2 linked regions of the Sus scrofa genome follow. The protein of the gene in region 1 purifies or fractionates together with the protein of each later gene. This does not show direct contact. Links are inferred from orthologs where the notes say so. Each region holds a gene or a part of one and is shown in the gene's direction. Other genes may lie near its edges.

What was found. Proteins that work in one complex are often made in the same cells at the same time.
Region 2: the proteins of SWSAP1 (region 1) and SPIDR purify together in Homo sapiens (co-immunoprecipitation; 3 studies listed by BioGRID and IntAct, with this or other methods). This does not show direct contact. The link is inferred for Sus scrofa from reciprocal best matches to the Homo sapiens genes SWSAP1 and SPIDR.

The regions. Positions count from the first base shown.
Region 1 is NC_010444.4:70,057,974-70,063,091, forward strand, and holds SWSAP1 (ATPase SWSAP1), read left to right. Parts: upstream 1-2,212; 5' UTR 2,213-2,234; coding exon 2,235-2,483; intron 2,484-3,298; coding exon 3,299-3,802; 3' UTR 3,803-4,016; downstream 4,017-5,118. UniProt on the Homo sapiens protein: ATPase which is preferentially stimulated by single-stranded DNA and is involved in homologous recombination repair (HRR). Has a DNA-binding activity which is independent of its ATPase activity.
Region 2 is NC_010446.5:79,876,223-79,880,190, reverse strand, and holds part of SPIDR (DNA repair-scaffolding protein), read left to right. Parts: intron 1-847; coding exon 848-941; intron 942-1,716; coding exon 1,717-1,834; intron 1,835-2,023; coding exon 2,024-2,077; intron 2,078-3,968. UniProt on the Homo sapiens protein: Plays a role in DNA double-strand break (DBS) repair via homologous recombination (HR).

The DNA.
Region 1 (5,118 bases):
AAAGTTCTGCCAGTGCCTTCACCTGGAACGCTCTTTATCCTTAGCATCCGTTATCTCCTCCCTCGCTAGGATATCAGTCCCACCAGGACAGAATCTTTGATGTCTATCCACCAATGAGCCCCTATGCCTAGAACAAGACCGGGCACACAGTAGGTGTTCAACAAGTGTTTGCTAAATACATGAACTGATCACTTCAGGATGCTGATAAACAGGCAGGAGCATAGACTGTCACTGAGCTGTCCACCACCCTGTCCCCTCACTCTTCAGTCCTGCCTCCTCCAGGGAGCTCCTCTAAGCTAAGGGTCCTTCTGTCAAGACATGAAGATGGGATCCTGAGAAGTGAGGCAAAGAAGTACTACACACATGAGAGAAACACCTAATATCACATCTTCGCCAATGTACTCACTCAGCTGCATTTAGAAGCACCTACTATATACCAGGTGTGGTTCTACGATCTAGGAAGCCAGAAAGAAAGAGGAGCCCTACCCTGGCAGAGCTGACATTCTAGTGGGAAGAGAGGCAATAAGGTAAATACATAAGGTTGGAAGTGATGTTATTTGAAGAGAAACAAGCAGTTAAAGAGTGAAGGGGTGTAATTTTACACAGGTGGTCAAGGAAAGCTTAAGTAGGTGATATATGAGAAGGCACCTAAACTGAATGAAAAAAACGAGGGATATCTGACAGCTGAATGCTCTAAACAAGGGAACAACAAGTGCAAAGGACCTAAAACAAGGCTGTGTTTGGCATGCTCCTATGTATATAACTGTGTGGAACTCTGTGATACAATTGTCTCTGCTGGGTGCTTGTGCATTTAGAGTGCTATAAAATTGAGGTGAATCATGGGCCTGAGGTGGTACATTTACAGGGCAATGTAACAGTATGTCGTGTGTGTGTGTGTGTGTGTGTGTTGGGGGGAGAAATGGTATGATTGTATCAGAGTGTGTTCTGGTGTGTGTGCAAGGGAAAGGGTGTGGAGGCATGAATATGGGAAAGAGTATGTATGGGATACTTTGTGTCAGGATAGGATAGGGCAGGGAGCATGTGGGTGATGGGGATTCTGAAAGTGAAATATATGCAGAGATGCCATGTGTGCATGCATGCGTGTGTGTGTGTGTGTGTGTACGTGCCCAGCTGTGTGAGTGGGTGTATTATTGGAGGATGTTGTGGAGCTGTGTTCCGGCCCCAGAGGGAGAGAGAAAGCCCTGGAAATCTCAGTTCCTCCCTGCCCCTGGGTCTCCTGGCAACAGCACCACTTTGAAGTTACCAGGAGACAGAGTTGCCAGGGCAACAGGGGTATGAGTGGCAGCTCTGGGGAGAAATCTGGGTGAAGAGACACAACCACTGATCACTTGATCACTCACCTTGTTCCTCCTTCTCTCCCAGTTTCTCATCAATCCTACTTTCCTTTCTTCATTCATTCCTTTAAGGAGACTATATTGAGAATCTACAATGCCCTAGGCACTGTTCTGGGTGCTGGAGATACCAAAGTGAACATGACAAACAAGGTCCTGCTGTGGTTCTCCCTCAGTCTCCCAGCCCCCTGAATCTCTGCCTATTCTCTCCTGTGCCCCCTTTTTGTTGTTTGGTCCTGCCTCCCCCTGTACTACAAGCAGGACTCAAGAAGCCCCCAGGCCAGTGAGGAAGCCAGCTGAGACTCTTCTCACAGACACTAAGAGACAGCTGCTGATGTTTTGCACATGAATGTCCTCAAGCCGGCAGTCCCAGACACATTTGTGCTGGTATTCAGGTGCAGAGAGAAGCACATAGCTCATCCATCTCTCTTCTCCATTGTCATTGGGTGTTATCAGCAGAAACACACACAGACACGTGCCTATCACAATATTCCTCTGAGATACCATGAGCTACAATTTACAGGTAAAAAACTGAGGCTAAGAGACTTTAAACAATGTGTCAGTGATTAGGACCTGCTCCCTCCAACTCTCAACACTTGTATTGCCTGACTAGCAGAACGACTCACAATAGTAGTATTTGTGCTGCTTCGGCCAGCGGACTCACCAGGGAAGAGCCTTATCTCCCTCAAAGGCCTCCATCCCTTCCTCGGACTAGGTTATTTGCCGCTTCACCACCAGAGGAACTGGGAAACAGCGATCTACCTTTGATGAGCAGAGCCTCGAACCAATGGAGAAGCTAAGTACACTGTGGCCAATGAGATCTCGCCTGCGGCGGGATTAAGGGCAGGATCGGGCCACGGATTGGACAGACGTTTGCTGCGAATGGCGGAGACGCTGAGGCGGGTGCTAAACTCTGGCAGCGCGGCCGGCCCCGCGGAGGAGAGCACGGCTGAGGCCGGACCGCCTTTGCTGCTGCTTGGCGGTCCAGGCTCTGGAAAGACAGCACTGCTATTCGCGGCGGCCCTGGAGACGGCAGGAGAGGGCCAAGGCCCCGTACTCTTCCTCACCCGGAGGCCTCTGCAAAGCTTGCCCCGCGGGACCCGAGCAGCGCTGGAACCCCTGCGGTTACAGGTTGGGAAAAGCGGGACCAGAGGCGGACCAGCCACTAGCGGAGCGGTTGGGATTGAGTGACACGTAGACAGACCAATGGTGGAGACGAAGGAAAGCCAAGCCGGAGTGGCCATTATGGGATGGAGTCTGGAATGAGTCGGGGATGGGACCATACTAAGCTTTGTTAAGATTGAGTGAGAAACCATCGATGAGGGGGCGAAATTAGCAAAAGGCGGTACCCAAAGGGTTTGACTACAGTTGGTTTTTGGACAGCTGCCGTCAAATGATGGTGTCGGCCGCTTAGGGAAAGATTACCCTGCAGATTTGGCAGAAAGCTGTATCTTTCTTTTCTTTTTTGTCTTTTGAGGGCCTCACCCGCGGCATATGGAGGTTCCCAAGCCAGGGGTCTAATCGGAGCTGTTGCTGCCAGCCTACGCCACGGCCACAGCAACGCCAAATCCGAGCCGCGTCTGCGACCTACACCATAAACTCACGGCAACGCAGGATCCTTAACCTACTGAGGGAGGCCAGGGATGGAACCTGCAACCTCGTGGTTCCTAGTCGGATTCATTTCCGCTGCGCCACAGGCGGGAACTCCAGAAAGCTGTATCTTGTTCTCAACTAATACCAGGGAGTGAAGAATGCAGGATAAAAAGGTAGGGGGCGGAGGATGGCAAACAAGAATACTCGACCACTCTGAGCTGCCTCACTCTGGAACCAGCAGTTCCGGGAGTGAGAGCCTCGTCCAGGAGAGTATGCAGGGGACTAGGGCTGCTATAGCAGGGATCCTGGCTTCCTGTGCTGATTCTGGTCCTTTCCTTTTCTCCTCTCTCTAGAAAATCCGCTTCCAGTATCCACCCTCAACCCTTGAGCTCCTCCGGCTCCTGTGCTCTGCGCATGAGGCCAGGGGGGCAGCGCCCTCCCTCCTGCTGCTCGATGGCCTGGAGGAGTACCTAACAGAAGACCTTGGGCCCCAGGAAGCCGCCTACCTGGCCGCCCTGCTTGTGGACACAGCTGCCCACTTCAGCCACCAGGGTGGGCCTGGCCAGGGCTGTGGGCTCATTGTGGCTCTCCAGACCCAGGAGGAAGGAGACAGTGGGGATGCCCAGCCACTGGCGCTGCTCCAGAGGTATTTCCCTGCCCAGTGCTGGCTGCAGCCCAATGCATCAGGCCCAGGACAGCACTGCCTCCGAGCCTGCCTGGAGCCAGGCGGGCTGGAACCCAGGGCAGAGTGGTGGGTGACTTTCCAACCGGATGGAGAGATGACGGTCACACAGTGGCCCACCCAGGCTGGTGACACTGGCTCACACAAGGGTTCAAGCTCTGAAGGGCAGTCTTGAGCTTTGGTGTGTGACAACCTCTCTATGCCTAAGTTTCCCATGGCTGGAATACCTACCTCAGAGACATGCAGATTCAAAGACTTAAAGATTGTAAAGTGCTTTTTCTCTCATAAACATAGCATTTTCATGTACATATTGTGCCCAGTCAACAAATTGTTTAATTTTGCTGTTTTGAACTTTAAAAAGTTTCATGATAAATGTAATCTGAGACTTCTTTCTTCTCCCACTCAACATTGTTACTAAGATTCAGCCACATTTTTTGGTTCATTCCTTTTTTTCTACTGCATATAATTCCATGGGTGACTATACTCCAGTTTATCCATCAGATTGACTATTTACTGCTCTTGACATTCTTGTACACATGTCCTGGTTTGTGTGTGCAAGGGTTTTTAGGATATATATCTAGAAGTGGAGTAGCTAGAGTGAAAGGTATACCTACGTTCAGCTTTCCTAGGTTTTTTTTTTTGGTTTTTTTTTTTTGGTCTTTTTGCTATTTCTTGGGCCGCTCCCGCGGCATATACAGGTTCCCAGGCTAGAGGTCAAATCGGAGCTGTAGCCGCCGGCCTACACCAGAGCCACAGCAACAGGGATCTGAGCCGAGTCTGCGACCTACACCACAGCTCACGGCAATGCTGGATCGTTAACCCACTGAGCAAGGGCAGGGACCGAACCCGCAACCTCATGGTTCCTGGTCGGATTCGTTAACCACTGTGCCATGACGGGAACTCCCAGCTTTCCTAGATTATGCCAAACTTTATTTATTTATTTGTCTTTTTAGTGCTGTACCTGCGGCATATGGAAGTTCCCAGAGTAGAGGTCAAATTGGAGCTGCAGCTGCAGGCCTGCACCACAGTCACAGCAACACCAGATCTGAGCTCTGTCTGGGACGTACACCAGAGCTCTTGCCAATGCTGGATCCTTAACCCACTGAGTATGGCCAGGGATCAAACCTGCATCCTTATGGATACTAGTCAGTTCTTAACCCGCTGAGCCACAACTGGAACTCCTATGTCGAACTTTTTAAAAGTGGCGAGACCAGAACTCCCATTGAGTCTCTTGATGACATTTGGTGTCATCACAGTGCTTTCTTAGAACTGGGCCTGATTGAAAATGAAGCCTTAGGAATGAATATTGCTATTAATAGTAGCAGAGACTAGCTAGTGGCTCATTAAACAGCTTTTCTCTTCTGGATGCACAGCTAAACTACATTTCCCAGCTGTCAATCGTTCTGGCGGTGATTGCATGACCATTTCTGACTGGTAGAATTTGTGAGGAAGAGATGGCCAACACCTCTAGGCTAGATCCCTAAAATAGCT
Region 2 (3,968 bases), on another chromosome or scaffold:
GGATGAGATGGTGCAGTGATGGCCTGCTTGGAACAGTGCATGCACGTTGGAAAAGGCCAAAAATGAGAATATTTGGTTAAGTAGTAACATGTCTAAGCTTTAAAACTTGCTCTTGCTAGGAGTTCCCGTCGTGGCACAGCAGAAATAATCCGACTAGGAACCATGAGGTGCAGGTTCGATCCCTGGCCTCACTCAGCGGGTTAAGGATCCAGCATTGCCATGAGCTGTGGTGTAGGTTGCAGACGCGGCTCAGATCTGGTATTGCTGTGGCTGTGGTGTAGGCCGGCAGCTGTAGCTCCACTTCAACCCCTAGCCTGGGAACCTCCATATGCCAAGGGTGCAGCCCTAAAATAGCAACAAAAAAACAAACAAACAAAAACCTCCCTCTTGGAGTTCCCATGTGGCACAATGGGTTAAGAATTTGGCGTTGTCACTGCTGTGGTACAAATTCAATCCCTGGCCTGAGAACTGCATGCCATGGGTGGAACAAAAAAAAAAAAAAAAAAAAAAAACCCTTGTTCTTTGTTGGGAGTTCCCTGGTGGTCTAGTGATTAGGATTTGGAGTTTTACCACTACAGCCTGGATTTGATCTCTGGTCTGGGAATTGAGATTCCCACATAAAGCTGTTGCATGCTATGGCCCAAAAAAACAGAAACAAAAAACTTACTCTTTGTTGTAATTTTTTGCAATGGGAATTATAAAAAGTTTAGCAACATTTATATAAACTCAGTGAGAAGCAAACCTGGAGCACCTCATGTTACCATCTTTGACCTGAGGGGTAAAGAGAAGTTGGGGAGGTGGGGGGCAGAGCCGCTTCTGAACCTGGCTCTGCTTCCTGTGGGCCCAGGCTCTGTGGTTGCTGTGGATGAGAGCACCGCCTTCTCATGGCCTGTATGTGACCTGTGTGGCAGCGAGAGACTGGAACGGAGCCCAGAAGACAGGTATGGGGGCAGGGGGCTGGCCTGAGAGACCCCAGGGCAGCAGCAGCCAGCTGGGGATTCCATGATGGCCTTGTGCCTTGGGCCAGGGGCCCAGTGCACAGGGAGCAGGGTCAAGCTGCAGGGAGGCCACATACAACATGTTTTCTCTCTTTACAACTGGGGTTCGGCTCTGCCCCGCACCACCTCCTGTCTTAAAAGTAAGAAGAGCCAGGTTTCCTCAGCTCCTTAATTATCAGGCAAGAGAAAAAGAACTCAGAGCAAACATAACGTGAGACCCACTGGGTCATTTGCAAGCAGATCCCCCTTCCCTGCCCAGCACCACTGCCCCCATCTGGCTCCCCTGTGACTGTCGGCTTACACTGGGGTGTGTCATCACTTTCCTGCTGCTTGAGGCCTCTGAGGGGGTGGTCTGAGGCCTGGACAAGGCAACACCCGGTTGCACTTGGAGACAGAAGGAGTGTCTCTCAGGTTTACTTGGAAGCGGGAAGGAGCAGAGACACTGAGGATTAAAGCAGGTTTTCCTGATCTGGCCCTTCTGGCTTGTTTGCCACCTGCTCAGCTGGGATGAGGCTCCCTGCCCGTGTGCCTCTGTCCTCCAGGCATTCCACACACGGCCAGACCGCTGAGCCTGGGCTGCTTCTGACCTGCTTCAGGACCTGGGTTTCTGGACGTGAATGCTCCACTCTGTCTCGGCAGACCCTCAAGTGTAGGAAGTGTCTGTCCACTGCCAGACCCTTGTGCTCTGTGCCTTCTCTTTGGGTCTTGTTTCCAACAGTAGGCGCACCTTCTCCTGTGGGGCCTGCTCCCGCGTGGTCACCTCACCTCTCTTCAGAAGGCACCTGCAAGTCTTCCTGGACTGCCCCTCTCGACCCCAGTGCACAGTGAGGGTCAAGGTAAGAGCTGGCAGGTGTGGCCCAGCTCTCTTCCTGGGAAAAGGGGAAGGACTCACCCACGGACCACAGTCACCCTGTCTGACCTAAGGCATTGAGGTGGAAGCTGGTGGCTTGGAGCCACATGTCAGTTCTCGGGTCGGGTTGGGGGTGTTTTCGGGGTCCTGACCCAGCCCCTTCCTGTTACTGCAGCTGCTGCAGGACAGCATCTCTTCGCTCCTGAAGTTTGCGGCCTGTGAGGATGGGGTAAGTCCGGGTGCCCAGCCCAGGCCCACATCCTCGCTCTCCTCTGCTGGGTCCTATGACTAGGACCTAGCTGAGCTCTTGGGGTTGGCGCACAGAACACCTGCGGGTCCTAGGCTCCCACAAGGGTGGCCCTCAACCACCTGTTCCCTTCAGGAACCTGGAGACAGGGGAGGGGGTGCTGGTAGGAACACCCTCATTTCATTCAGCCCCTTCTGATGGAGGCAGGCTATACCTTCTACACATTACACTTCTTAGCCACTTACATCCTACTCCTAAAGAGCTCAGAAGGCATGTGTGTGCTCATGTGTGCACCTGTGTGTGCATGGGTGTATGAAGTATGTACATGTGTGCTCTGGGTGAGGGGCCTGGGTGGCCACTCAGTGTTCCCTTGTGCGGCTGTGCACTGGGAGCCGAGTCTAGTTGACCAGAATGCAAGCCGACCCCCACCCCACCCCTGGCTCCATGCAGCGGTTCTTAGAAAGGACGCGGACACATGTGTAGGAGAGGCCTGTGTGGAGACACTGGCCATGAGGCTTGTCTGGATTCTGCCAGTTTTCAGTGTGAGAATGTACACTCACCAAAATCCACGAGAACCACGACTCCATTCCTGGGAACAACATGCAGCTTCTGATTAGGACGCAGGAGTATTTGGTCTCATGCCTCCACTTAACAAGGTCAAGCTCCAGATGTGAAAGCAGTGGAACTAGCTGTGGTCATATAGGCCACTGCTCCTGGGTAACATTACAAGGACAGGAAATGTGCTGTCTTTTTCCTTAGCCTTCACAGAAGGAAAAGTTAAAGGAAGATACATTGCATCTTTTAAAAATAAAGGCACATTTTGTACACACACAAACACACACACACACGCTTTCATTTGACCAGCACATGTGCATGTTTTCATCTCTCCCGAATATAAAACTATAACTTAATCTCCTTTATAAACAGTAATTACTGAAAACCATAGCTACCAAATCTGACTTTTTAAAAAGAGGATTTTTTTCAAGTCAGAGTTCCATGCTTGTACCCCCAGTGGGAGCATGCCTAGGTCCCCTGCCTACACCTGCAGGTACAGCCCTAACAGACAACACAGCCACATGCAGCCCTTCCAGCCCTGTGTGGGCACCTTCCCAACCCAGCGTCTCTATCTCCTTCCTGCTATGTATCCACTGTGTGAGGCACCTTGTGGGCTGGGTGAAGGATCAAGGGGGCCATGACCTTGATGTCTTGGTCACAAGAGCCCAGGCAGGAGGACTCCCCACTTTTCCAGCCATATCCTCTAACTTCCTTCATGCAAACATGCTGCCAAGGAAGCCAGAGCTAGCTCCCTGCAGGCCACATTGGGGAGGCAAGGGGGTTGGCTCCAGGCCTGTCTCATAGACGGGAAGACAAGCACTGCAGTGTCCATGTCCCAGACCAATACAGGCATGTACTGCTCCAGAACAAGCCATCTCCAGGCCCAGTGCTCCCCCACACTCTGCACACAGGCCTGCTGCCTGGGCGAGGATCCACGGGGCAGCAGCTGGTGCCCTGGAGGCTGGGCTGGATTCACAGGAAGCCCTTCAGTTCCCGGGCAGCTGTTGGGCTCCTTTGGGCTGGGCGGGACCTTCCTGGGCATTGACCAGACAGGCACACAGCCTGGACCCCTCACAGCATGTGTCTGGGTCCCAAGAAGGGCAAAGATAGGCCCCTGTCCTGGCCAAGCCTGGGACACATTCAGTGCCCCTCCCACCACACTCAGTTCAGGAGAAGCCAGCCGGGCACCCAGCCCAGACCCAGGCTGAGGGCAGTGAGGTGCCCACCAAGGAGACACAGACATGCCAGCTTTGGCCATGTCATCTGATCCTCCAGCCTCAGTCTCCTCTGCTAAGACACGCTCATGATGGAAGAGAGG